Cricetulus griseus: one gene and its partners. The protein of the gene in region 6 interacts with the protein of the main gene of each other region in a biochemical or structural test. Links are inferred from orthologs where the notes say so. Each region holds a gene or a part of one and is shown on either strand. Other genes may lie near its edges.

What was found.
Region 1: of the proteins of serine-protein kinase ATM (region 6) and Atr, one has a biochemical effect on the other in vitro, tested with the Homo sapiens proteins (2 studies listed by BioGRID, with this or other methods). The link is inferred for Cricetulus griseus from reciprocal best matches to the Homo sapiens genes ATM and ATR.
Region 2: the proteins of serine-protein kinase ATM (region 6) and Smc1a form a complex in vitro, tested with the Homo sapiens proteins (2 studies listed by BioGRID and IntAct, with this or other methods). The link is inferred for Cricetulus griseus from reciprocal best matches to the Homo sapiens genes ATM and SMC1A.
Region 3: of the proteins of serine-protein kinase ATM (region 6) and Chek2, one has a biochemical effect on the other in vitro, tested with the Homo sapiens proteins (6 studies listed by BioGRID, with this or other methods). The link is inferred for Cricetulus griseus from reciprocal best matches to the Homo sapiens genes ATM and CHEK2.
Region 4: of the proteins of serine-protein kinase ATM (region 6) and Rbbp8, one has a biochemical effect on the other in vitro, tested with the Homo sapiens proteins (4 studies listed by BioGRID, with this or other methods). The link is inferred for Cricetulus griseus from reciprocal best matches to the Homo sapiens genes ATM and RBBP8.
Region 5: the proteins of serine-protein kinase ATM (region 6) and Mdc1 form a complex in vitro, tested with the Homo sapiens proteins (2 studies listed by BioGRID, with this or other methods). The link is inferred for Cricetulus griseus from reciprocal best matches to the Homo sapiens genes ATM and MDC1.
Region 7: of the proteins of serine-protein kinase ATM (region 6) and Eif4ebp1, one has a biochemical effect on the other in vitro, tested with the Homo sapiens proteins (2 studies listed by BioGRID, with this or other methods). The link is inferred for Cricetulus griseus from reciprocal best matches to the Homo sapiens genes ATM and EIF4EBP1.

What each region holds. Positions count from the first base shown.
Region 1 is NC_048597.1:204,588,643-204,592,142, reverse strand, and holds the end of Atr (serine/threonine-protein kinase ATR), read right to left. Parts: intron 2,228-3,500; coding exon 2,122-2,227; intron 552-2,121; coding exon 378-551; downstream 1-377. UniProt on the Homo sapiens protein: Serine/threonine protein kinase which activates checkpoint signaling upon genotoxic stresses such as ionizing radiation (IR), ultraviolet light (UV), or DNA replication stalling, thereby acting as a DNA damage sensor.
Region 2 is NC_048604.1:107,465,894-107,469,393, forward strand, and holds part of Smc1a (structural maintenance of chromosomes protein 1A), read right to left. Parts: intron 2,997-3,500; coding exon 2,811-2,996; intron 2,726-2,810; coding exon 2,546-2,725; intron 2,449-2,545; coding exon 2,302-2,448; intron 2,211-2,301; coding exon 2,073-2,210; intron 1,031-2,072; coding exon 914-1,030; intron 809-913; coding exon 702-808; intron 1-701. UniProt on the Homo sapiens protein: Involved in chromosome cohesion during cell cycle and in DNA repair. Central component of cohesin complex. The cohesin complex is required for the cohesion of sister chromatids after DNA replication.
Region 3 is NC_048597.1:90,646,719-90,650,218, reverse strand, and holds part of Chek2 (serine/threonine-protein kinase Chk2), read right to left. Parts: intron 1,333-3,500; coding exon 1,246-1,332; intron 208-1,245; coding exon 44-207; intron 1-43. UniProt on the Homo sapiens protein: Serine/threonine-protein kinase which is required for checkpoint-mediated cell cycle arrest, activation of DNA repair and apoptosis in response to the presence of DNA double-strand breaks.
Region 4 is NC_048595.1:224,645,685-224,649,184, forward strand, and holds part of Rbbp8 (DNA endonuclease RBBP8), read right to left. Parts: intron 3,460-3,500; coding exon 3,333-3,459; intron 1,436-3,332; coding exon 1,347-1,435; intron 1-1,346. UniProt on the Homo sapiens protein: Endonuclease that cooperates with the MRE11-RAD50-NBN (MRN) complex in DNA-end resection, the first step of double-strand break (DSB) repair through the homologous recombination (HR) pathway.
Region 5 is NW_023276806.1:229,747,714-229,751,785, reverse strand, and holds the start of Mdc1 (mediator of DNA damage checkpoint protein 1), read right to left. Parts: upstream 2,801-4,072; 5' UTR 2,798-2,800; coding exon 2,662-2,797; intron 1,254-2,661; coding exon 873-1,253; intron 788-872; coding exon 712-787; intron 317-711; coding exon 1-316. UniProt on the Homo sapiens protein: Histone reader protein required for checkpoint-mediated cell cycle arrest in response to DNA damage within both the S phase and G2/M phases of the cell cycle.
Region 6 is NC_048597.1:165,151,163-165,154,620, reverse strand, and holds part of serine-protein kinase ATM, read left to right. Parts: intron 1-855; coding exon 856-919; intron 920-2,497; coding exon 2,498-2,634; intron 2,635-2,738; coding exon 2,739-2,922; 3' UTR 2,923-3,458.
Region 7 is NW_023276807.1:56,590,486-56,594,639, reverse strand, and holds the start of Eif4ebp1 (eukaryotic translation initiation factor 4E-binding protein 1), read left to right. Parts: upstream 1-1,354; 5' UTR 1,355-1,419; coding exon 1,420-1,561; intron 1,562-4,154. UniProt on the Homo sapiens protein: Repressor of translation initiation that regulates EIF4E activity by preventing its assembly into the eIF4F complex: hypophosphorylated form competes with EIF4G1/EIF4G3 and strongly binds to EIF4E, leading to repress translation.

The DNA of each region.
Region 1 (3,500 bases), about 39 Mb from region 6:
CTATAAAATGAAATTAGGTTGGCTGGTTCCTTGTTTTTTGATCATTAGAATACAATATTCTATTTCTCAATTTGTAATATGCAAGTATGCACTAAGAAAGCCGTGTTTAAAAATCAAATGCATTTCTCTGTGAGTGCAAGCCCAGCCTGGTCTACAAATCAAGTTCCAGGACAACCAGGGCTACACAAAGAAACCCTGGCTTGAAAAAAAAAAAAAGCCAAAATAAAAAAAAATTGAATTCATTATTTTAAATGCAATCAAATACTAGTTTCTCTGAGAACATAAGTAAACGTATGTTGCACTTTAGATTTAAAGACATACCACTGATTAACACATGAATTTTAGATTATTAATATAGTCTTTGAAATAATTTTATTTTACATATATGGGGTCCAACCAAGGTACATCTGACATAGTAAGTTTTCATCAGTAGCTTCTTGTATGAGGTAATGCACATGTCCTTCAATAGATAATGGCAATCCTGTTACTCTATTTCGGGTCTTGATTACACCTTGCAGTCGTTGTTCAATGTCAAGAACATGGGTCTTGGCCTAAAAAGATATAGAAAATTGTTAAGGCTACAGACCCAATAACAGGTAATGTTGGTAATTTGGAGTGTCTACTTTTCTCACTACTTATTAATGTTAGTGCTGTTTTACTAAACAATATCCCATTTGTGGCAATAAAACAAATCCAGTTAACTTGAGATGCTGATTTTGATGTTTACAATGGCTAGCATCTACTAATGGGACATGTTTCTCTACAATAAAAATCACCAGGTAACTTTGTACATCCCAATTCCAGAAAGGTAATAATTTAAAATATATGTTTTGAGGGCTAGTGGGTAGCTCAGTGGTGGAATGTGTGTTTGTTTAGTAGACAAGAGACCAGGAGTTCTATTCCTTTCCATTATCAGAAACAAAATAAAGCAAACAAAAATCAAATGTTAGTTCTTAAGAAGATTCTAAAGATGGTGTCATGGGAGAGGTCCTTCTGTGTATATGTTTGTCTTATTGGTTGATAAATAAAGCACTGTTGGCCAATAGGTAAGCAAGTTAGGTGGGACTATGAGAGGAGGATTCTGGGAAATGGGAAAGGGAGAGAGTCACCATGTGATCCCAGGAAGAGAGGACGCATAAGGCCAGTGTCCTCGGTAAGGTAAGTCCTTATAAAAAAATACAGATTAGTATTTATGGATGATAATTAAGACTGAGCTAGCAAATAAGAGATCCTAGTCATTGGACAGCAACACTGTAACTAATATAAGACTCTTGTGTGTTATTTGGGGGCCCTAAGGCGGCGGCAGAACCCAGGCAGCTGTAGGAGTTATCCTTACAATGGTGGCAATGTTTTAATGGCTGATAAATTTACTTAAAATTCCATTTGCATGCACTAATGTAAATTTATTAAACTATTTAGAATTCTTTACAGCTTCTTAAGAAAAAGCACACCTGAAGCAAAATTGAGAATGATATTATTAGAAAAATAATTTTCAGAATGAGAATGAAGCCTGGTGGTGTTGAAATAATTAGTGCATGAACTTAGCATACACAAGGCCTTGGGTTGAACCCAGCATCAAAGTGGGGGTGGAGGAGAAAAGGATTCCTCAATGTATTTTTGTCAACTCTGAGGTTATAACTAATTTTAGATTTCAGAGTCATCAATTGTGAAAAATCCTTTTGTACACTGTAAAGATTTGTCACTGTAATTGGTTTAGTAAACAAGCTGATTAGCTACTAGCTAACAGGATAAAGTTAGGCAGGAAAGCCAAACTAAGAATGATGGAATAAAGAAGGGCAGAGTCAGAGGAGTTGCCAGGAAGATCAGAAGGAGCAGGAGATGAACGTGCCATGCTAATAAAGAAACCACCACGTGGCAGAGTGTAAATAAGGAATACGGGTTAATTTAAATGTAAGAGGTAGCTAGTAACAAGCCTAAGCTATTGTCTGAGCATTTATAATTCATATTCAGCCTCTGAGTTGGTTATTTGGGACCAGGCAGTCAGGACAGGAAATGCCCATTTACAATAAATATTTAACTTGCCAACAGTAATATTTGGAATCAGATCTCATTTAAAGAGAAAGAAATTTTAGCTTATGCCAAACTGTAGCTTTTACTAACCTTTTCATTGACAACTTCCCCAGTTTCATTCAGTGGTGCTTTGGAATGTCCTTTCACTGGTTTACTCCATTCCACAAGAGGATCATGCAGAAAAGTCTTTAAGACACTAAAATTGAAACAGATATAATAATGATAAATTCTTTACCTTTGCAAAAAGAAATCTTACTAAAATCAATATTTAAAAGTAGAATAAAGGAGGATTAGAAAGATAAAGTAATATCACAAGTTCTAGGACTATAGTACATTTTAAGATAGTTTATGTGAAATTATTTTGGGGGTGTTGAGGGAGCAGGGGTAAGGGGAAAATAAAGAGGTAGGGTAAGGGAGAGTCAGGTGTTTTGGGGGGAGTATGACGAATTCTGTGTGACATCTCAAGATCTATACTGTTACTTGATAAATGGGTGTTTATTTAAACTCATATTCTACCATGTTCAAGGAATATACAATACCTTCAGTTACCATACAGATGAAGCCACACCTTTCTTTTGAGCTCTAGACATCAACTCCAACTACCTGTAGGAAACCTGTTTAGATGTATTACAGATATCTTAAACTATCTTAAAAACAAAAGTCATTGTCTTTTCCTAATTCTTTCTGTATTCCTACAGCAGTAACAAACATCATTTGCAGTCTTTTCCTGAATGAAAAATAAGCTATCATCCTTACCTCTTGTTCATCTGTCATGCAGTTTACATCCTAAACCAGTACGGAATCTCCCTACTTACTCCATCTCTACTACTGCTACATCATTCAGTTAGAGTCTGGAACTCTGATTTTTCTACAATGCAGAATGGATGCTTTCATTTCCTCTTCCTCTACTTCTTTAAAAGAATTTTTTTCTTAAAATTCACTAACCTTTTACTTCTCAGAACACTTTTCTCCTGTGCTTGGTTAACTAAGATTTCAGCAACTTCAAAAGGTATTTCTTGGGGGCTGGAGAGATGGCTCAGAGGTTAAGAACACTAACTGCTCTTCCAAGGGTCCCGAGTTGAATTCCCAGCAACCACATAGTGGCTCACAACCATCCGTTATGAGATCTGGTGCCCTCTTCTGGTGTGCAGATATACATGGAAGTAGAATGATGTATACATAATAAATAAATAAAATCTTTTTTAAAAAAAGGTATTTCTTGACTTTACTAGAAAAAAGTGTGCTGTGTGTAGGCTCTCTTAATGACTCTACTATGATTTCCTCTGAGCAAAATATTCCTTTGCCCATGTTTAATAGTATTCTCCCATAATGTTTAAGTTCTTTAAAATTATGCTTTTCTGTGGTGGGAGTTGGGGGGAGAACTCAATCCATAAGATGCTTGCTGTACAAGTCTCAAGACCTGAATTCAGATCTCTAGCACCCATGTAAAAGGTTCGGAGCAGCAGTAC
Region 2 (3,500 bases), on a different chromosome or scaffold from region 6:
ACCTTAAAAAAAAACAAAGGTAAATACAGTATAATATAATAACATAATATAGAATAGAATATACAAAAAATGAGGGAGAGGGGCTTGCTTCTTTTCTGGTTACTTCTCCAGCCTGGAACTTCTTTTCATTCCTAACCTCCAATACACAAGGATAATAGCAAAACAAAAGATAATGTTTATTGTTCTTTGTAGATGCTATTTATTATGCTGAATAATTCACAAAGATTATTTCATCTAGGGGCTGGAGAGATGGCTCAGAGGTTAAGAGCACTGGCTGCTCTTCCAAAAGTCCTGAGTTCAATTCCCAACAACCGCATGGTGGCTCACAACCATCTGTACTGAGATCTGGTGCCCTCTTCTGGCCTGCAGGCATACATGCAGACAGAACACTGTGTATGTAATAAAATATATAAAATAAATCTAAAAAAAAGATTATTTCATCTAATCCTCCCCCCAATGCCACAAGATAGGCACCACTGTCTCAAGGTAATGATTTTAATCTGGGTAAACCAGATTTAAAGCTAGCACTTTTACCCACTATCCTGACATATTATCTACCTGATTTCACTGTTCTTTCTGGCCTCCCTACAATAAGTTTGTATGCTTCTAAGAATTGGTCACTGCCCTAGGACACACATGACTCTCGAGGATGTCAGGCTGTAGGCATGCATCCCGGTATCTTATAACAATCTTTCACTTACCGCTTCTTGGCAATTTCATTCTGCCGCTTCACCTTTTCTTCCTCAAATTCTCGGATGTTGCGCACACCAATCTCCCGACAAAACTCCTCAAACACCTCATCTTCCACCTGAGGGAAAAGTCAGGAAGGGCAGAGGCATTATTAATTGAAGTCCTACTTCTAAACCTAGTCTTGTCCTAATAAACATGCTGGCATGGTCCACCCTCTACCAACCTGGTTCATCTTCTCCTTCAAGTCTTTCATTTCCCTTTCTCGGCTCTGGATGATTCTCTTGATATCATTAATGCGAGGCCCGAAGTTGGCTAGCTCACTCTCCAGCTTAGACTTCTCCTACAGACAACAGGTTGAAAGACAAGAGATTAGAATCTGTGGAGGAAAAGAACTTCCTTGCCAGTACCAGCCCCATGGTCAGCAACCACTGAGAAAGCCTGACTTAGCATCAATACCCCAGTCAAGTTCTAAAACCTTTAATCCTTAAGGCTGGGCACACAGTAAACATCATTAGTTGTAGGTCCACAATCCTGTATTGATAACCCCTAGGTCAAATATAGTTTACAAGTTGGACTGTTTTTTTCAGAAGAAGGTGACTCTAGGTATTACGTAATACCTCTAGCTTGGGTAAACTGGGAAAATGTAGAATTACCAAAGAACATACTAATATACCCCAACCCATAGACACTGAAATTCTTCTAATTCACTGTTTTTGTTTGTTTCCCTTGAGATGTGATCCCACTACATAGCTCAGAGTGGCCCTGAATTCTCTAATCTTCCACATCAGCCTCCAGTGTACTGGGACCATAGGCATATGCCACTACACTGGCCCTGTTGCTCACTCTCAATTAACTTTTTTTGTTTGTTTGTTTTTCTAGATAAGGTTTCTCTGTAGCTTCAGAGCCTGTCCTGGAACTGACTCTGTAGACCTGGCTGGCCTTGGACTCACAGAGGTTTGCCTCCCTCTGCCTCCTGAGTGCTGGGATTAAAAGCATGTGCCACCACCGCCCAGCTCAATTGACTTTCAGAAGTTCCAATATTTATTGAATGAACTGCATTAATAATAGCACCTAACATTTACTGAGTGCCTACCGTTCTAAGAACATTATAGATATTAACGAATTCCATCTTTGCACTAATCATACAAAACAGACAATAATTTCCATTTGGTAGATGAAGATGAGAAAATTGACAAAGAACTTAAATAAGTTGCTTAATGGAATAAATAGAGATGACAGAAGATCTGGATGCCCCCACCCCATCCCAGTGTCTGACTCTCTGCTCTTCTATCTTGAACAGAACGGAAGGAAAGTGGATAATTCCCCATCCTCAGTGCAACCTAGGATGGCCTTGGAGAACAGGGATGAAGACCAAGCCCTACCTGGAGGTTCAGGGCAAGATGCCTTGTCTTGGTCTGTTCTAAGTCACTCTGTGAGTACTTCAGCCTCATTTGTAGCCCATGGGCCTGAGACTGCACCTGACGTAGTTCGGCCTCTTTCCGTTTCGCCTTCATCTGCTCCTAAAGAGGACAAGAAAAAAGGGCCATGTGGTAAGTGGCCAACCTGAGCTTAGGAACCTACTCCGAAGGATCACTGTTACTTGTCACTTACTTTCAGCTCCTCTGTCAAGCGTTCTTTCTTTTCTTTCAGTTTGTCTACTGCTTTCTCATCCCAGCGCCGTGCCTTTGCCTTGAGATCACTGGCTCCACCAGAGATAACTCCTGACTTCTGGAAAAGGGTTCCATCCAGTGCCACTGTCTATACACACCAGAGAGAGGAGGCGGGGGAGATGGTGAAAATAGAAATCTCCAGTACTATACCTGTCCAGCTCCAACCTGGGAAAAGAGGGCCATACCTTGTGGCGTTGGTGACCTCCAAAGGCAATGCGTCGGGCATCCTCCACATTGTCACAAACAAGGGCATTGCCACAAGCATATTGCAGAGCTTTTTTGATGTGAGGTGGTTCATATCGAATCACATCAATTACCAGCTTGGCCCCCTTCAGCTCCCGGAGCTTCTCATCTGTAGGTTTTACCTATGTGAAGAATCTTATTAATATAAAGCCAAGGTGAGGGGTCCCTCAGCACTGCCTTAACTTAACTGCCCCCCATAAGCCTTACCTCCAGGTAGTCAAGTGGCAGGAAGGTCTCAGGCTCTCCACGTTGCTCCTTAATATACTGAATACAATCCCGACCTGTCTTCTCTGAGTCTACAATAATAGCATCCATGTTCTTTCCTAAAACCTTAGTCACAGCAATCTGATACTTCTTTTGTGTAGGCTGGCAGAGGTCAATCAGGCGGCCATACTGAGTAAAGAAGGGAAAACATAAGGCTTAGGAATCCCAATTACTAGTTCACAAAGAAGGGCAAGATAAAAATCGGTGTAAGGAACAATGAATGCATCTATGTTGCTTATTTGTGAAGTCAGTCCTCTATTTTTGCACCTGTATAATACCACTAAAATGGGAATGAATTAGGGGAGGCCCTTGTTAAACTTGTATGGCTAGAAGCAATTTAGACCAGTACAGTGATCAATTCTAATGTTCCTTCCAAAAACAGAAGTTTGATTAAAGGAGGATTAAGGACTGAATAAACATGTTACATGATGGAAGACCCAATTAACACCTCAGAAGCAGCTCAGAGAAAGAAATCACATTGTCTCTAGAATCAATTATACTGGAGGTTTAAAAGGTGAAGCTACAGGTTTCCTAAGACTGCTTTTGGATTCAGACAAGATTAACTGAAAGGCCACAAGCCTTAACAGCCTCACCTAGAAGACATTTTTGAATGATACAATAGTTAACTTTTCT
Region 3 (3,500 bases), about 75 Mb from region 6:
ACCTCATCCAACCAGATTGTGAAGCAAAGAAAATGTTTCCTACCAGATGAAAAGAATAACTCCTAAGCTCCAGCAGTCCACAGCACGGCTGTACCCAGCAGTCCCATTGGAGACAAGGACCTCAGGTGCCAGGTATGTGGGCGTACCACATAAAGTTCTCATCAGGGAAGTCTCCCCCAAAATCTTAGACTGTCCAAAATCAGTGATCTAAAATTATAAATGGAACAAATGAAATTCAAACATAATCATAGTCAATCATTCCCAAGAGCCATGGAAACTGGATTACCTATTATACAGACACTCTCCATTAACCCAAAGTGTATAATTTCATGTCTTTGCAAAGCATTTAATTTTGCTTAAAAGAAAATCCCTGGGCCTAAGAACCTGAGAACCAAAGTTTTTTCCAATTTACCTGTCAGGAGCCAGCCCTGGTTAGACATAAAAAAGTCCTCCTTTACAAGAAGCCTGGCGACCTCCATGCTAAACCGCCAATTAGTCAAGCACCCCACCCCTTAGGTTCCGGGACACCTGCCCTGGCCTGAGAGCAATTAACATCCATTCCTCCTCCACTTCCTCTTTCTTTACTTCCTTCTCTTTAAAAACTCCTTGTTTATAATCAATAAAATTAGACCTTGACAAGGACACTGCTTGGTCTGGCTTCTCTTTCTCGCCCATTTATTTTCATGCTTAGTCCACCTCAGACACACAAATTACCGGACCCACGAGCCGGGACAGGTTTACCTATCATCATTATAAACTTATAAAAACTGCATAACCCCTGACACAAACACATTAGGACTCTAATACTAACACATATTTCTTAAACCCAAGACTCTTAAATTTGACTACACCATGGAACATCAGAAAAGCTTAAGGGGCAGGGGCACCTGTTGTCACCCTCATGTTTTATGTCTTGGGGTCTTCTTGTTGGGTTTTGTATTGTTATTTTAACGGGAGATTCTAAAGTGAGGCTAGGCTGAGAAGGAAAGGTGGGATCTATGGCTCACTGGTCCATTGAGACTCTTTCCTCCCTCGGCACATAAAAGCAGCTTGCATACACTGGCACTCAGTAAGTGCTCAACAGATGGGTGGAATACTTTGTGATCTCAGCAGTAACTGTTAAGTATGGATAGTTCATATTCTCAACCTTTTGATAGTCCTATTTTTTTTTTATGTAAGAGATTAAAAGACAGTTTTGAACAGAAATATGCAGCAGTAGCAACAGAAAGGATGAAAAGTTTTCACCTTGATAAGGCAGTCCTCTTCTTGAGATGACAAGAGAACATTTTCTGGCTTTAAGTCCCGGTGTATAATCCCATTTTCATGAAGGTACTGTACAAAAAGAGAGGCAGGGCCATTGATTTATACCACACACACATGAGGACAGTTACCAACACCTAACTCCTAGCCTGAGTTAAGTATTATGTGTCAACTCATAGGACTCAGTGGTTAAGAACACTAGCTGCTCTTCCAGAGGCCCTGAGTTCAATTCCCAGAAACCACATGGTGGCTCACAACAATCTACAATGAGATCTGGTGCCCTCTTCTGGCCTGCAGTGATACATGCAGACAGAACGCTGTATAAATAAATAAATTAAAAAAAAAAAAAAAAAAAAAAAAGTCAGCTCACTCCTTAAAGTCAGCACTGGACCAGGGCTTTAGACAGGGTTTCTCTGTGTAGCCCTGGCTGGCCTTGAACTCAGAGGTCCACCTCCTGCGTGCTGGGATTAAAGGTATACACCACTAGACCCAGCACCAGAAAATCGTTAAAAAGGATAACCTTAACCTCTAATCCCAGCAGAGGGAGGCAAAGGCAGACGGATCTCTGTGAGTTCAAGACCAGCTTGGTCTACAAGAGCTAGTTCCAGGATAGCCTCCAAAGCCACAGAGAAATCCTGTCTCAAAAAAAAAAAAAAAAAAAAAAAAAAAAAAAAAAAAAAGCATAACCTTGCATTTCACAATGCCAGAAAACAAAAAATCCCCTCACTCTAAGAGACATGCAAGTTGTTTATTTCCATAAAAATTTAAATGAATGATAACATTTCATAGGAATTCCATCAAAATAATATATTTTGTTATGCTCAGCAGGTAAAGGCACTTGCCACCAAGCCTGACAACTATATATTTATGATTTACTAAAGCTTTCCCGAAAGCAGAAAGCAAAGCAACCTCAAACTATAGAGATCAGGCAGTGGTGATACACACCTTTAATCCCAGGACTTAGGAGACAAAGACAGATGGATATCTGAGTCCAAGACCATACAGGGCTACCAGAGTGAATCAGGGTTCACACCTTTAATCCCAGTATTTGAGAGATATAAAAGGCAGAGGCATTCAGTCTGAGAGTTAGTCTCTAGCCAAACTGAGAAGAGCAGTTTGAGTGAATCTGAGGAGCAATTAAATTGGGAGCAGTCTGAGGATCGCCCCTTTGGTCTGAGGTAGAGGAAAAAGCTAGTGTCTGGCTGCTTTGCTTCTCTGATCATCAGACTGACACTTGAACCCCAATATCAGTCTCTGGGTCTTTTATTTATCATGCTACAGACAACCTCAATCCCCAGAACCCACATGATGAAATGAAAGCAAACTTCTGCAAGTTGCCTGTAACCTACACACACATACACATACACACACACACACTACAGAGATTTTTTTTTTTTTTTTTGAAAATGTGAAACGTGAAGCGTATCTCAGGAGCAAGGCACTTGCATAGCACAAGGCAGGCACTGGCTTTAAGATCCCTATACAAAAAAAAAAAAAAAAGCAGAAACACCATGAAAGCTAGAGATACAGCTGCTCAGTGATACAGTACTTGCCTAGCATGAACTAGGCTCAACCTCCAACACTGTAAAGGTTAAAAATAACAAGTGAATAGTCTATTAATCTATTCCTAGGTGCAAAAGTTGACTACCATTTTGTTTTTTGTTTTTTGTTTTTAGTTATCTTGTTGGAAATGGAGTATAAAAATGAAAACAAACAAAATATCAATTCAGGTCATACTTCTTTTAAGAATAAAAAAAGAAAAAGCCGGACGTTGGTGGCACCCTTTAATCCCAGCACTCGGGAGGCAGAGGCAGATGGAGCTCTGTGAGTTCAAGGCCAGCCTGGTCTCCAGAGCGAGTGCCAGGATAGGTTCCAAAGCTACACAGAGAAACCCTGTCTGGGGTGGGGGGAGGGGAGTCCTACATCAACTGATCTTCGCACAATTCATCTTGTTGTTGGCCAGTATACTAGGAAAATGAATAAACTAATGAGGTATCAAGCCTGCACAGATCACAGCCATCATGAAAACTGAACTGTGAGGCTAAGCAGGGTGGTGCATGCCTGTAATCTAAGCCTTGGGAGGTGACAGCAAAAAGATCAGTTCAAAGCTAGGCTTAGCTACAGAGGGTCAGCCTATGCTATGTGAGACCCTATCTCAAAAGGGGTGGGGGTGGGAGATGCTGGAGAGATGGCTCAGAGATTAAGAATACTAGTAGTCCTTCCAGAGGTCCTGAGTCCAA
Region 4 (3,500 bases), on a different chromosome or scaffold from region 6:
TTAGTGCACATGGAAAACAACTTTAACTATAAAACTTGGTTTCTTCATAGCTACATGTTATTTTAATAAACTACATCATTTCTTAATGTGCCACCAAGTAGGAGAATTTCACAAACTATATGGAATGTAAACATAAAGCAAAATCATATTTCCAGTACAAATTAAACAAAACAAAACATCAAAACTGGGTGTAGTGGCACACGCCTTTAATCCCAGCACTCGGGAGACAGAGGCAGGTGGGTCTCTGTGAGTTGGAGGCCAGCCTGGTCTACAGAGTGAGTGCCAGGACAGCCAAGGCTACACAGAGAAACTCTGTCTTGAATGAATGAATGAATGAATGAATGAATGAATGAATAATGAACGAACGAACACACACACACACACACACACCACAAAAATGTTACTTCTTAAAATAGAAAACTGGAAAAAAAATTCCTTGACAGCATATCTTTCCCTCTCCTCCTTCTCTCCTCCCCTCTCCCTCCCTTCCTCTCTCTCTATGCTAATTAAGGTGGCTAGAGAGATGACCTGGTAGTTAAAATTAAAAGTACTTGCTGCTTTTGCAGAGGTACCAGGTTCAATTCCCAGCACTCATATGGTGACTCACACCATTTGTAACTCCAATTACAGGGGATCTGACACCATCTTCTGACTTCTGCAGGCAATTTCAGACAGACATAGTGCACAAACATACATGTAGGCAAAACTCATATACATAATATAAAAATTTAAAAATTAAGGCTAAACACATAAAGGAATTACAGGCATGGTGATACACACCTACACTCCCAGCACCCATGAGGTGAAAGCATGAGCACAGTTAAGTCTGAGACCAGTCTGGTTTGTATAATGAGATCCTATCTAAAAAATTTAGAACATGTGATTGGTGATTTTTGATAAAAGTAAAGTCACATGGAATATGTACCTATAGTTCTTTGTTATTTAAAAACCAACATTAATGCCTTATATCAAAGGTCTTTAAAAACCAGAAAATATTAACCTTTCAATATTATCATTGTGTTAGAAGGACAGGTATTATTTCTGTTTCCTGAGAGAACATATGCGAGTGTTAAGAAGTTGCTGTCTTGGGCTAACAAGATGACTCAGTACAAGCCTGACAACCTGGGTTTGATCTGCAGGACGTACATGGTAAACGGAGAAGACCAAATCCTGAGGGTTGTGCTTGGCCTCTGCATGTATAATGTAACGTGCATATGGTGTGCACTGATGCAGACATGCACACATACACAATAAATGAAATGTGTAAAGAAGTATTTCAAGGAGAGGAGACTGATAACTCACTAGAGTAACAAACAAGTGGGCTTTAGTCCAATTTTGTAACTTACCTTTGTATCTATTACAGTAACATCCATTTTATACTGAGAAAGATCGGCTCCCGGGTCTACACTCCACTGGATATTGTCAAAGGGCACATCTTGGGAAAAAAGGAGAACCACAAATTAAAATGCCAATTTGAAAATTTGTTTCACTTTAAAATGAAAGGGACCCACAGAACATGAATATAAAAAATTTCTATAGCACATATTCAAATACATATATCTCAGGAAGCTGAAGAAATAAGTATCTCAGCAGTTGAACACACTAACTACTCTAGCAGATGACTTGGGTTTGGTTCTTGGCATCCACATGATGGCTCTTAACTGTTTATAACCCAGCCAGGGGATCTGATACTCCCTTCTGACCTCTGTAGGCACGAGGCACATGGTGCAAATTTACATACAGGCAAAACTTACATATACATAAAAATTTAAAAATCTTAAAAAACAAAAACAAAACCCAATTCAAAGTGGGCAAAGAATCTCACCAGCAGTTCAACTTGCCACTAACATTATGAGAAAGTGACCAATATAACCAGCAATCAGAAAAATGAAAGACAACAATGAGATCATTCACACAGACTAGGATGACTAGGCTAAAGTGTGTATACAGATATTGACTTGGAAAGGATGAACGCTTCACACAGTCATGCTAATGTGAAATAGCATAGCTGCTCTGGGAAATAAGAAGTCCCTTAAATGGTCAAAGTAAGAGCTGATATGAGGGCCAACAATTTCAGTACCAGAACACTGGGAACTGGGAAAAAAGAAAAAGTAAACATCCATTTTCAGAAAAATCTGTACACAAATGTTCATTGTATTATTCATAAAGGTAACAATGACAGTAAATTTGTATTAACTGATCAAAACATGACTGTATATAATGAAATTTTATTTAGCAATACATAGGGATGGAATACTGATACATAATATAATATGGCTAGGAACTGAAAACACCACCAGTGCTAGGGAGATGGCTCAGCAGGTAAAGGTGCTTGCCTGTGCAAGCATGATTACCTGAGTTTGACCCTTGGAACCAGTGTAAAAGTTCAAAGAGAGAATACTGCACAAGCTGTCCTCTAACTACATATGCTGTGGCATGTACACATCCACACTCACAGAAACACACCACATATACAATAATGGTAAAATAACGTTAAAAGAAAACATTGTGCCAAAGAAAAGAAGTTACAAGATTTCACACTGAGTAGGTCTCTATTCACCTAAAATATCTACAGTATTCAATCTGAGAGATAAAAATTAGGCTATTGATAACTAGAATTGGGAAGGATGAAAAGGCATGGAAGTATCATGGAAGTTTATCATAACTTAGACTGTACAACTCTTTAAGTATGGACATTTTCATAACAAGTGATTTGTATTTCACTGAAGTAATTCTTTAAAAGCTAAAATTCTAAAATTTGGATTTTCAATGTATTATATGTAGGTATAACACATGACAACTGCAAACTGTAGTTTAAGAACATGAAGCAACAGGTAGGTGGTGCATGTCTTTATTCCCAAACAAACAAACAAACAAACAGACAAACAGACAAACAAACAAACAAACCCCAATGGAATAGTTAAAATACTTTTAAAGCTTTTGCAAAGGAAGCAAGAAATAACTAAGTAACTAAATCCACAACATCATCTAAAGTATTTAAAATAAATTTTTAAAAAGCTTAGGAACAAATCCCAGCACTCGGGAGGCAGAGGCAGGTGGATCTCTGTGAGTTCGAGACCAGCCTGGTCTACAGAGCTAGTTCCAGGACAGCCTCCAAAGCCACAGAGAAACCCTGTCTCGAAAAACTAAAAAAAAAAAAAAAAAAAAAAAAGCTTAGGAACAGAAAAATCCAAGGTAAAATGAAAGTGGTAAGAATAATGCTATAAAACACAGATATATGCAGGAAAAAAAAAGATCCCCCCCCAATTTTTGTGTAAGGAATGTAAATGCCACCCAATTAAAAAGAGAGAGCCTGTTAATAATGCACACACCTTGGTTGTTTGGCAGGGACTTTGTTTTAGCAACTCTACAGGGATTTAACTGAAGAACTGATGCAAGCTCACATCCTCCATGGACTGGTCTGCTTTTTCCTTTTGTTGGCACAAGAGAACCAGTATCCTAAACGGAAACAATTATTAGCACTTAAATGAAATCACAAA
Region 5 (4,072 bases), on a different chromosome or scaffold from region 6:
TTCACCCATTTCCGTGTTGCTGTCCTTACCCACAGTGGAGCCCCTCCCAACCACAGCCGCTCCATTGCCAGCCTCACTCTTGACTTTTGCATCTCTGAGCTTTTGCTCAGCAGGCTGAGCCAGTACCAGCTGGATACCAGATGTCACTCCATTAGCTTCCAGCTGCTTGGCCTCTGCAGCAGCACCATCCCTGGCAACTGAAGAGGACTCCCCAACTGCTGGCTGTGGACATAGCTCTTCATCTGTGTCACTGCCCAAGTCAAAGGGCAAAGACGGCCCACGGACACTTTGGGCTGGAGAAGACCCCTCTTCATCACTGCAAAGACAGAGAGCCCACAGAATGTACTCCCTGGATAGGCCACCCCACTCCGCTGTGAGGGCCCTGAGAGTGAGCAGGCACTGCTGCCAGGTGTCTTCCCATCCCCACTGAGCACACCACAAGTACTCTTCATAATTTAATTCAGCTGAGGAAGTAATTATGCCTAGGCTCTCGGCTCCACCTGTCAAGATAATCACCTCATTTATTCAAGACCGACTCTTTATTCAAAGGCCGAGGTGTCTAAAACCAGTTAAGGAAGCTCAACCCTATCGTCCCAATCCTGATACTGAACCCAGAGGTCTGCCAGGAGTCTAAGACCAGCTTGGGCTACAGAGACTGTTTAAAAACAAAACAAAACAAAAGATCCAGGCATCTGGTACTTTGCTACTCACCTTTCTGGTACTACTGTTGCTGATGGAGACGTTGGATTCCTTGATCCATTTGCCACATACCTTCCAGAAGGAAAATCTGGCAAGAACAGGAAGAAATAAATTGACAGTTTACACCCTCATTCCTGTCTCTTCACACACATACACCCAAGGCACAAACTTACCTACTTCCTCCTCCGAATCCTCAGCCAACAAAACTCTGGAGGTTTGGGACCCTCCCTGTATTCTGGGGGTCTTCTCTATAGTTAGAAGTCCCCGAGAGACCAAAGGTGGAGGGACATCCAAGCGACGGTACTGGCAGGGAAAGTCTGCAAACAGAATTAATTCCTGGTCCTTCAGACGATGGCTCACTCCAGGGGTTAGGACCTTTGGGGGCTTTACCAGTTGAGTGCCATTGAGGCTCCCACAATCCTGGAGGATAGGGGCTTTGTTGCAAGCTGAGATTTCAATTACTGCATGCTGTTTAGAGATGGATGGAAAAGGCAGGGCCACAGAGCAGTCGGGGCTTCGGCCAATTACATTCTTGCCAAGGTAGAGTGGGAAATCTAAGGATCAAGAAGAAACATTAAGTTGGGCGTTGGTGGCACACACCTTTAATCCCAGCCCTCGGGAGGCAGAGGCAGGTGGATCTATGTGAGTTCGAGACCAGCCTGGTCTACAAGAGCTAATTCCAGGACAGCCTCCAAAGCCACAGAGAAATCCTGTCTTAAAAAAAAAAAAAAAAAAAAAAAAAAAAAAAGAAGAAGAAACATTAAAGAGTAAGGGCAGAGTCCTGGCCTGAATGAAGATGGTACCTACTGCTCACTCAAAGCTCTCACAGGGTTAAGAACAATGGGCACACCAGCGTAGAAGAGCATTCACAATACATCACTTTGCTGTAATATTCTATCTACTCACCTCATCGGTATTGTTCCAACAGATCCGAAAACAGTTTCATGCATGCTAGCTAAGCACTCTTTCCCTGAGCTACTGCCCTTGCTTTGTTTTTGATCCAGGGTCTCACTATGTAACCCAGATTGTTTTCGGACTTGCTATGTGGCCTAGGTTATCCTCAACCTCACCTCCTGAGTACAGGGATCACAGACATGCACCACCATGCCCAAAGGGAGTTTCTTATTGTAATAAAATACACAATATAGGCTGGGCATATTAGCACATGACTTTAGTTCTAGCATTTGAAAGGCAGAGGCAGGTAGGTTTCTGTGAGTTTGAGGCCAGTCTGCATAGTGAGTTCCAGGACAGCAAGGGCTACATATATACTCTGTCTCGAAGAAAAACAATACACACAATATAAATCTAACCATCGCAATCATTGTAAGTATACTGCTCAGTTGTGTTACATATCCATTTCTAGGCCACAATGTATTTTACCTTTTAAAAATTTTATGCCCTTTAGTGATGGCACACACCTTTAATCCCAGCACTCAGGAGGAGGCAGTGGCAGGCAGATCGCTCTGAGTTCTAGGACAGTCTGAGCTAGACAGAGAAACCCTGTCTCAAAATAAATAAATTTTTTATTTACTCATTATTTATGTATATGTGTGCACCTGCATGAGTTTATGTCCACCATATATGTTCAGGTACCCAAGGTCAGAAGAGAGCATCAGATCCCCTGGAACCAGAGCTACAGGTGGTTTTGACCACCATGTGGGTGCTGCAAACCTAAACCAGGTCCTCTTCAAGAGCAGTAAGCACTCTTAGTCCCTGAACCATCTCTTCAGCTCCCACATTCTATTTTTATTCGGAGCTCTTCATTTTCTCCTAACAAAAGAAAAACACTCCCAGAAAGTACAGGGTACCCGCCTGGAACAGTCAACTCAGGTGGCCTCTTTGTCATCCCTAGTACAACAATTATTATCCTCTTAGAAACATACATAAGGTTTACCAATGATCCAACTGCCTCTAAGGAGAAGACAAGACCCAATACTCATTCAGCTCCCAATATCTCCTGACCTCTTTCTGGTCCATGAGTACTACTGAAGAGACGCAGCTGCCCTATAGGCTCCAAGCTATACCCCAAGGACCCACTGGGTATTTCTGTCTCCTCCTCCTCTTCAGCATCCCAGTCAATAACCTGGGTGTTTTCCATGACCTGTGAGGGAAACACATTATCATTGTTCTGGTCATTGGTTTACACACACTTGTAGAGAAAAAATAACGAGATAACCCTGGAGGAACGTGGAGTGACGTGGGGGTGATTCCTGCCTGCCTTTCCTTCCTTCCTTCCTTCTTTCTTCCCAGACAGGGTTTCTCTGCTGTCCTGGAACTCACTCTGTAGACAAGGCTGGCCTCAAATTGACAGAGATCCACCTGTGTCTGCCTCTTGAGTGCTGGGATTAAAGGTGTGCGCCACCATGAGGTGATGCTTTTCTGTCATTCTGAAGCATGTAAAAATATTGGGGTGGGGCATGGATAGTAAGAATGTCAGTGACAGAATGTTTGGCTAGCCTATGTGAGGCCATATGTTCAACACTTAGTACTATCAATGGGAAAAAAACAACTTTTTTGGGGGCCAGCCAGTGGTGACACACACCTTTAACCCCAGCATTTGGGAGGCAGAGAGAGGCAGATCTCTGAGTTCAAGGCCAGCCTGTTCTACATAGTGAGTTCCAGGGCAGCCAGGGCTACACAGAGAAACCCTGTCTAAAAACAACACACACACACACACACACACACAAAACTTTTGATTAAAAGATGTTGGCATATATCTGTAACTCCAGCACCTGAAATCCCAAGGCAGGAATATTAAGAGTTGGAGACCTGGCCAGGCATGGTGGGTGACACACGCCTTTGATTATAGCACTTGGGAGGCAGGAGTCAGTTCAAGGCCAGCCTGGTGTATGTAGTCTGTTCCAAGCCAGCCAGAGCTACTAGTTAGACCCTGTCTCAAAAGAGTGGGGTATAGAAACCACCCTTGGTTACAGTAAGACCTTGCTCCCCAAAACAAAACAAAAATATTATGTATGTGTATATTTATACTTTTGGTCATGACAAAGAATTAAGGTCCAAGTATACCATTATATATACATTATATACAAAGGAATGTTACATGGGATTTTAGGTACTGGAAACTAAACCTAGGGCTCACACATGGCAAATGCTCTACCACTGAGCTATATCTCCAGCCCCAAAATGGGTACTTTTATTTAAAGTATATAAAAGCATGATAAACTGGATCGAGGTAGTGTATGTCCACAGTTCCAGCTGCTGAAGGAAGCTGAAGCAGTGCAATTGCTTGAGTCCAGGAGTTCCAGGTAAGCTGGGACAACATATTAGGACCTCTTTATAAAAAATAATAATAAAATTGCCTGGCCTTGGTGGTGCATGCCTTTAATCCCAGCACTCAGGAGGCAGAGGCAGGCGG
Region 6 (3,458 bases):
CTTCTCCCAGGCACCCCTTACCTTCTCTCCCCCCCTCCCCTAGATCCACTCTCCCTTCAGAAAAGAGCAAACCTCCCAGGGATATCAGCCAAACATGGCATAACAAGATGCAGTAAGAATGGGTACAAACCCTCATATCAGGGCTGAACGAAGCAACCCAGTAGGAGGAAAAGGCTCCCAAGAGCAGACAAAAGAGAGACATCCCACAACCAATGTCAAGTGTCCCACAAAAACACCAAGCTAACATGTATGTAGAAGACCTGTCATGGACCCATGCAGGCTCCTTGATTGCCACTTCAATCTCTGTGAGCCCCTATGAAACCCATGTAGTTGATTCTGTGGTCCATGTTCTCCCGGTGTCCTCTATCGCTCTGGCTCCTACAATTATTCCTCTTGTTCTTCAATGAGGTTCCCTGAACTCCAAGGGTAGGGACCTGATAGGATCAAGAGATGATAATTCTATCAGAAAGAACCATGTTCCAGTATAACTCCAAGCCAAAGATTTTGCTGTTTCTTGTAGATTTCCCAATAAAGGTCCATAATCTCAGCTTATAAAAGTAAATTCATACTTTCCTCAGTAATCAATCAAGACAAAGTATTTCATAACAGTAGTGTCTTTTTTAGTAAGTGCTGGGCTTGTGAAATATATACACATATGTTTGTATACATTTATATTAATTTCTGGAACATCTCTTAAATGCTGTCTTTGCCAACTGGTCTGCTCTTTGCTATCAATTACCAAAATTTTATTTCAAGAATCATGTAAGTATGTATGCATGAGTGCATGTAGGCAAAGATGGATTGAAATATTGGTGTGCTACAAAATCCATGTTTGTAATGTATTTCACTTTGCAGATGCTGTGAGAAAACCATGGAAGTTATGCGCAGTTCTCAGGAAACTCTGCTAACCATTGTAGAGGTAAAGTATGCATAAGGACATCTGGATTCCTTTGCCAGTCAGCCTGCCTTGTTAGGAAGCACTCATTTGAGGAACATTGCTGCTTTTTATGTAGAGTGGTGCTGGGGCAACAGAAAGGGGCACAGTGGGCATTTTCTTACATCACAGAATTTGGGGTTAGAAATGGTTCTAGGCCCCTCATGTTTCTTGGAATATTATAGCATTGTTCAGTAATCTACAGTTTTTAATAAATAAATGAGCACTTTGACATCTTAGACATCCCTCTTCAGCCTGAGGAGATAACTCAGTTGGTAAAGTGCTTGCCACACAAGCATGAGGGTGTAGGGAAAAAGACTCTGAGGGTACAGGTATCCAGGGTCTCTCCCAACATGAGGGCCTGCGTTTGGAACCCCAGAACCCATGTAAATACATAGCATAGGAGCATGTATATTTTGTAAATCACTCCTCCTGTTCAGGTAGGGTTGAGAGTCATTTGTATTTCACTGGTACTCTTAAGACTGTGATAATAAGGGTAGAACTATGTCCTTTAGAAGATTCAGTTAACAGTTTGCCATCGTGGTCTAAGTGACAGTATTGCATCTGAGAAATGATTCTATCTTCACTTATAATACCTTATCATTTTGGAACATACCTATCCTGCAAAGACACATGAAGTTCTGTGTTGCCCCTGGTAAATCAGTCCAAATTTCTGAGAGTCATTTGCTGTAGTTTTCCTAATACTGAAGAATAGTTTCCCATTCTCCATTGCTATCTCCTGCTCTAGGGCAGTGCTTCCCAATAGTGTCTTTGGACTTCCCAATTCTGAGGTCACTCCTTTCAAAGTCAGTCCCTCAGTGGTTTATCAGTGGCCCTGGAGGACCTCAAAGCCACATTACAAAATGAAAAGCTTTTTATACTGCTGATCTAGTACATGTCCTACAGTTAAAATATGCTAAAGACATTTTACCGTCGCAGCATGTAGATGCTGCAGAAACCCAGTAAAGGTGACAATCAGAAAGGATTCTAGTCCTGTGATGCTGGCCGGGCGTTGCCTGGCCTGCTGAATCATTTGCCTCTATAACCAACTATTCCACTTACTACTAAGACTATCTAGGCCTAATTAAAAAACAAAAATAAAAACAAGAAATGCACGCAGGGAAGTTGACTGTTAAATAAATTACATCCTTTTGTTAAAGCCACCCAGCTTGGGAGCTAATTAATAGAAAAAGAGCCACTGTAGTGGGTAGTAGGTTGGTAGTCAAAATGTTAGTTTTGATGATGCTAAAACTCCATTACGGAACATGACTTAAGAGTCACGTGAAATAGACCTTGGGAGAGAAGGGAGTAAAAGCCACGGTGACAACCTCCTCCAACTAAGTCAGTGTCATCCAGCCTGACACCCAACCCTGGGGGAAGAGTGAACTTGGGGTGGGTTGAGAACCTTGGAGCTTATCCTTAAAATAGCTTTCCTCTGCACATGTATATAACTTGACTCCCTCCACCAGCTACTTGTGATTAGTATTATTTTATGATGTGGTGGCTATTGTTTTTAACTACATAATCAAAGAGCACATCGTTGTTTTTTTTTTTTCTTTCTAGGTCCTTTTGTATGATCCACTCTTTGACTGGACTATGAATCCTTTAAAAGCTTTGTATTTGCAGCAGAGGCCAGAAGATGAGACAGATCTCCATTCTACCCCCAATGCGGAAGATCAGGAATGCAAACGAAGTCTTAGGTGGGAGATTTTAGGAGGGACCTATTGTTAGTTACTTAGATTTTGTTATTCCCAAGCCCTTAGCTGTTGTACCTCATTGTAATCTTCATGTTTTTTGTCCTTAGTGATATTGATCAGAGTTTCAACAAAGTAGCTGAACGTGTCTTGATGCGGTTGCAAGAGAAATTGAAAGGCGTGGAAGAAGGCACTGTGCTCAGTGTGGGTGGACAGGTGAACTTGCTTATCCAGCAGGCCATGGATCCCAAAAATCTCAGCCGACTTTTCCCAGGATGGAAAGCTTGGGTGTGACCTTCAGCACAGGAATTACCCTTAAATTCAGACTTCAAAAATTACATCTCAGCCACCATATTTGGATAGGAATTATTTAAGTTAATGACTGCATTTGAACCAGTTTTCTACTTGATTCATCACCACCCAAAAATTGGCATTTCTGCTCTCATATGTTAGAAGTAATAGTTACTCAAGATCTTCTCCTAGGGTAAATGTTGACCCTTAAGGTCATGCTTGTACTGTTTTCAGTAGGATCACCAAGGTACACAATGAACTGTAAACAGCGGGAGCAGCAAAGTGAGCTTTACTTTTGGTGTGCATTAGGACAAGTTCATAACTTCTACTCTAAGAAGTTTTCAGTTAAAATATGTTCCCAAGAGCTGGGCACTGGTGGTGTACACCTTTAGCCCCAGCACTCGGGAGGCAGAGGCAGGAGGATCTCTGTGAGTTCAAGGCCAGCCTGGTCTACACAGTGCAAAGCAATACAGAGAAGACCTGACTCAGAAAAAAAAAAAAGAAAAAAGAGAGTTCCCAGACAGTCATTGTGTGTGCAT
Region 7 (4,154 bases), on a different chromosome or scaffold from region 6:
TTGTCTACCAACTAGGCTGCATTCCAAGTCCCCCCTTTCTTTCTCTCACTTTTTGAGATAAGGTCTCACATTGTCTGGCCCAGGCTGTACCTCAAACTCACTGTAACCATGCCTGGCCTCAACTTTGTGGTATTTATCTTGTCTCAGATTCTTCAGTATTAGAACTATGTGAGCTACAGCCCAGTTCTAGCTTTCTTGTTTTCTTTGAAACAGGGTCTTGTTGTGTATCATAGGCTAGAAGCCTTGATCCTCTTGCCTCAGCCTCCCAAGTGCTGGGACAAGTGTGTGGCACCATACCTAGCTTGAGTGTTGAGCTTTGTAAGCAGGCCCTCCCTGGAATCTTAGTTCTGGGAAATCTAGGGCCTCCATTGCAACCAAACAAGTCAAAAGCAAAACTCCTTTCAAAATGCTTCTCCCAAAGGGAGGAAGGTGACCCGGTATGTTCTCAAGTGTGGAGAGAGACAGGCTAGCCTGGACTCCAGCGAAGGTTGGCATACATTCAACAGTATGACCTCAGGCATTTATTCGTCAGCTGTGTGATCTTGTGCAAAACCCTGTCCTTTTCTGAACTTCAGTTTTCTGCTGTTTGTGGTTGTTATTGATTGCTTGCTTTGCTTTGTGGAGATGTAGTCCCACTAAGAAGCCTGGGCTATCCTGTAACTCATGATCCTTCTAGGGCTTCAGCCTCCCCAGTTCTGAAATTACAGGCATTCCCTACCACATGGAGATTGATAGATTCTCTATCCTATTAGACATGACGGTCCTCCTTGCCACTCCCCTCCCCTCCCTACCAAAGTGTTGGAATAGACTACAATTTGAGGACTGTTGGGGAAACGTCTTTGACCAGCCCATCCTCTACAGAGGTCCGATCTTGCCACATCAGATTTACAGTCAGTTTCCAGCTGGCTGGCTAGTTCCCTCTTAGTCCACCACTCCTTTCAAGGCCAGGGATGCGCATTGTTCAGCCACTGCTCTGACTCCTACAGCACAGTGGAAACGAAAGAAGCGTTAAGATGGGCGAAGGATCAGCCCACCCTTACTTTCTTCTAGTAGGAACAGCTGGGGATCGAGAGATCACATCCTAATATAGAAAGCAGGCCGTCTAGTGCGCCGAAAACGCGGTCACCAAATCGGAGAGCTTTTCCAACGTCACCCCTATATAGCTCTTCTCAGTGCGTCGGGGAGGGACCCCGGAACCTAAGGGGCCAACACTGGGGTTCCCGCACTGGAGAGGGCAGAAGCCGCTAGGTCAGCAGCTGGGAACAACTTGCATGCAGCGGGCTGGAGCTGGGTGGGGCCGGGCGGACCTCAAGTCTCAGGGGGCGTGGAGCCCAGGCGGAAGGGGCGGGCCGGGCTGGAGAAGGGCTGGGCCGAGGTGCCGCGGGGCTGCTGGAGGGTCGTGGGCGGCACGTAGGAGACATGTCTGGGGGTAGCAGCTGCAGCCAGACTCCCAGCCGGGCCATCCCCACTCGCCGGGTAGCCCTCGGCGACGGCGTGCAGCTCCCGCCCGGGGACTATAGCACCACCCCGGGCGGCACACTCTTCAGCACCACCCCAGGAGGTAGGCGCGGGCCGGGGTTGGGGCGACCTCCAGGGCAGGAGGGCACCCCGGGATCCGGAGTCGCACGTGCGACGGGGGTGGCGGCGCTCAAGGGTTCCATAGCTGGACAGAACGGATAGGGGCGTCAGGAAGGCTGGAGGGTAACCGTCTCGGTTGCCCGCCTGCTGGGTGTGGTGGAGCGTGGTCTGGGGGCCCGTCTGCAAACTGCGCGCTTTTTCCTGGGAGAGACCGCGGAGTGCCCCAAGCACACAGATAGGCACTCTGCCATGATTACCATGTGCTCAAGTGAGGCCTCTCTGGGTGTCACGACAGTTCTAGGGTGGGTCAGGATGGGGGTCTGGGTGGAGCAGGGGAAGGGCCAGGCCTGGAGATTAAGTTTAGTTGATCTCTCTTGGAATAAAGGACGCCTGCACACTTTTTAACCTTCCCCGGGCAACCCTCGTTTTGCGTTGGGACACTCGCTTATTGATGAAGGCTGGGCGTTGAGGGTGCTCTCTGCCCCAGGAGCACGTCTCGGCCACCTGTGGCATGAAGCCGATTTAGAGAGTGAGATCTCCAGACAGGGGCCTGGCGCTGCGTCCATGGCTGTGCAGAACAACACGTTCCTCGGGTCTGGGGGGAGGGCACAACGCTGAATTCGCCCAAGTGGCGGAGGATGAGGAAGAGGAAGCTGAGTTGGCGCGGGACGGGGCCGGGCTCCAGGAACTAGGCATTCCCAGCTTGCCCCGAGCCCCAGTATAGGCGCTGATGAAACCTACACGCCCGTTTGCATGATGAAATGCTCGTGGCTCACTACTTCCCTCCCATTCTCGAGCTGCTCCCACCCATTTTGCGCTTCTCCCTTCCCTGATCTCCTCCCCCAAGCTTCTCCTCTTACAACTCAAAAAAACAGGAGAGTTCCTGGCGCTGCGCTGAACCTTGGGCTACTGCAGGCGCGTCCAGGCCACATGCCTTTTTTCTCAAGCAGCTGTTCCTATACCAGGGAACACAGCCAGACCCCAGAACCAAGGCGCCGTTGAAGGGATCTTGTAGATGAGTGTCCAGTTTGTGCCTCTTGGTCTTCAGAACAACCCCCCCCCCTTTTTGAGCGCGTGTCTGTTATGCATTGTCACGATGTGTTCCTAGCAAACAGGTAGAGCGGGGAAGGCATTCTCCCTTTCATTAGAAATGGCCCAGGGAAAACTCTGCAGGCTTCTGGTCTCCCTTTCCTGGAGTTCTCAGAACTTTCCTGGCCTCTTCTAGTTCACACTCTTGCACCCTTTCTTTGTCTTGTTACAGAACTTTGTGTTTAAGCACAAACTTGGCAGACAGTTGAGTCCTTACAGGTGAGGCGTGAATCTTTTTTTTTTTTTTTTTTTTTTTATGTACAGGCACTGAGGCAGGCTTAAAGGCTCAGGGAAACCCTTTTTGCCCCCCCCCCCTTTTTTTTTTTTTTTTTTCGGATGGACAGTACTGTTTGTATGAAGATCCACTTCACACTATGGACTGGGAAGTGTCAAAGTTGGCAAATCATGATGTCCCAAAGCCACTGGCCCTTTGTCAGGGTGTTTTTTTTTTTTTTTTTTTTTTTTTTGTGGGGTACACAGCCCATAGCTTGAGGAGAGTCTATCTCATTTCTGCCAAAGCCAACAAGCCTGTTCTTTAGCTAAACAGTTGGATCTTCTTCAAGGGCTATTCCTTCCAGGGCTTCTCTGCCAAAGTGGAGAAGCTTGACCCATTTGCTTCAGAGTTTCTCATTACTTAGACCCCCAATTAAATACGGAGTTGGAGTACAAAGGTCTACAGAGTGAGTTCCAGGACAGCCAGGGTTGCATGAAGATCCACTTGCCTCTGCCTTCCTAGTTCTGGGACTAAAGGTGTGCACCACCACATCTGGCCATCCAGGCTTTCCTTACTGTTACATACCTTTTGGGCTGTTTCTAATGGCTCTGACCTGTACTTCCTTGGAAATCCATCTAACTTTTGAATTTTTCTACATATATCAAGGGCTGGCTGGGAGACAAAGGCCATGTTAATATCCTTGAGATTTGCTATGTCCTCAGGATCTATAGGAGTATATAGCCAATAAGCTTGAAGCAGGACTGAGATATTGCCTAACCATTTTACAGGATTTCCAGGTGAAAGGGACAAGCGACATCCATACATGTGTTATTTGCCTTTTCAGGTCTTTGGGAGTCTGGCAAAGTAGATTCCATCCAGGCATGAAGTCAGGCTGGCATTTCCTGAACTTAGGCTTTTCTGTACATCTTGGCTTGTGATTGACCCTTAGGGGCTGTGAGCTTTTCATGAAGGAATATTGCCTTAAGTCCCTTCAGCTGAGATGGCTTTGAAGCAGTTGTCTTGGGGAGGCCATGAGGGAGGCCAGAATGCCAGGACACAGCAGGTGGCCTGAGCCTCCTCCATTCCTGTGGTCATTATCCCTTTGCTGGCCCACCCAGTTAGGTATTCTGAGAACCTAAGACGTTTCTGAGGGGAGTGTCCTATGTGGGTCTTTAAGATGGTCAGCAGTCCCATAAACAGAATCTTCTAGTAAAGGCCCAGGATGGATGTTTGACCTCTGACGAAGTTGTTGGGGTGCCCGTACCTATTAGTG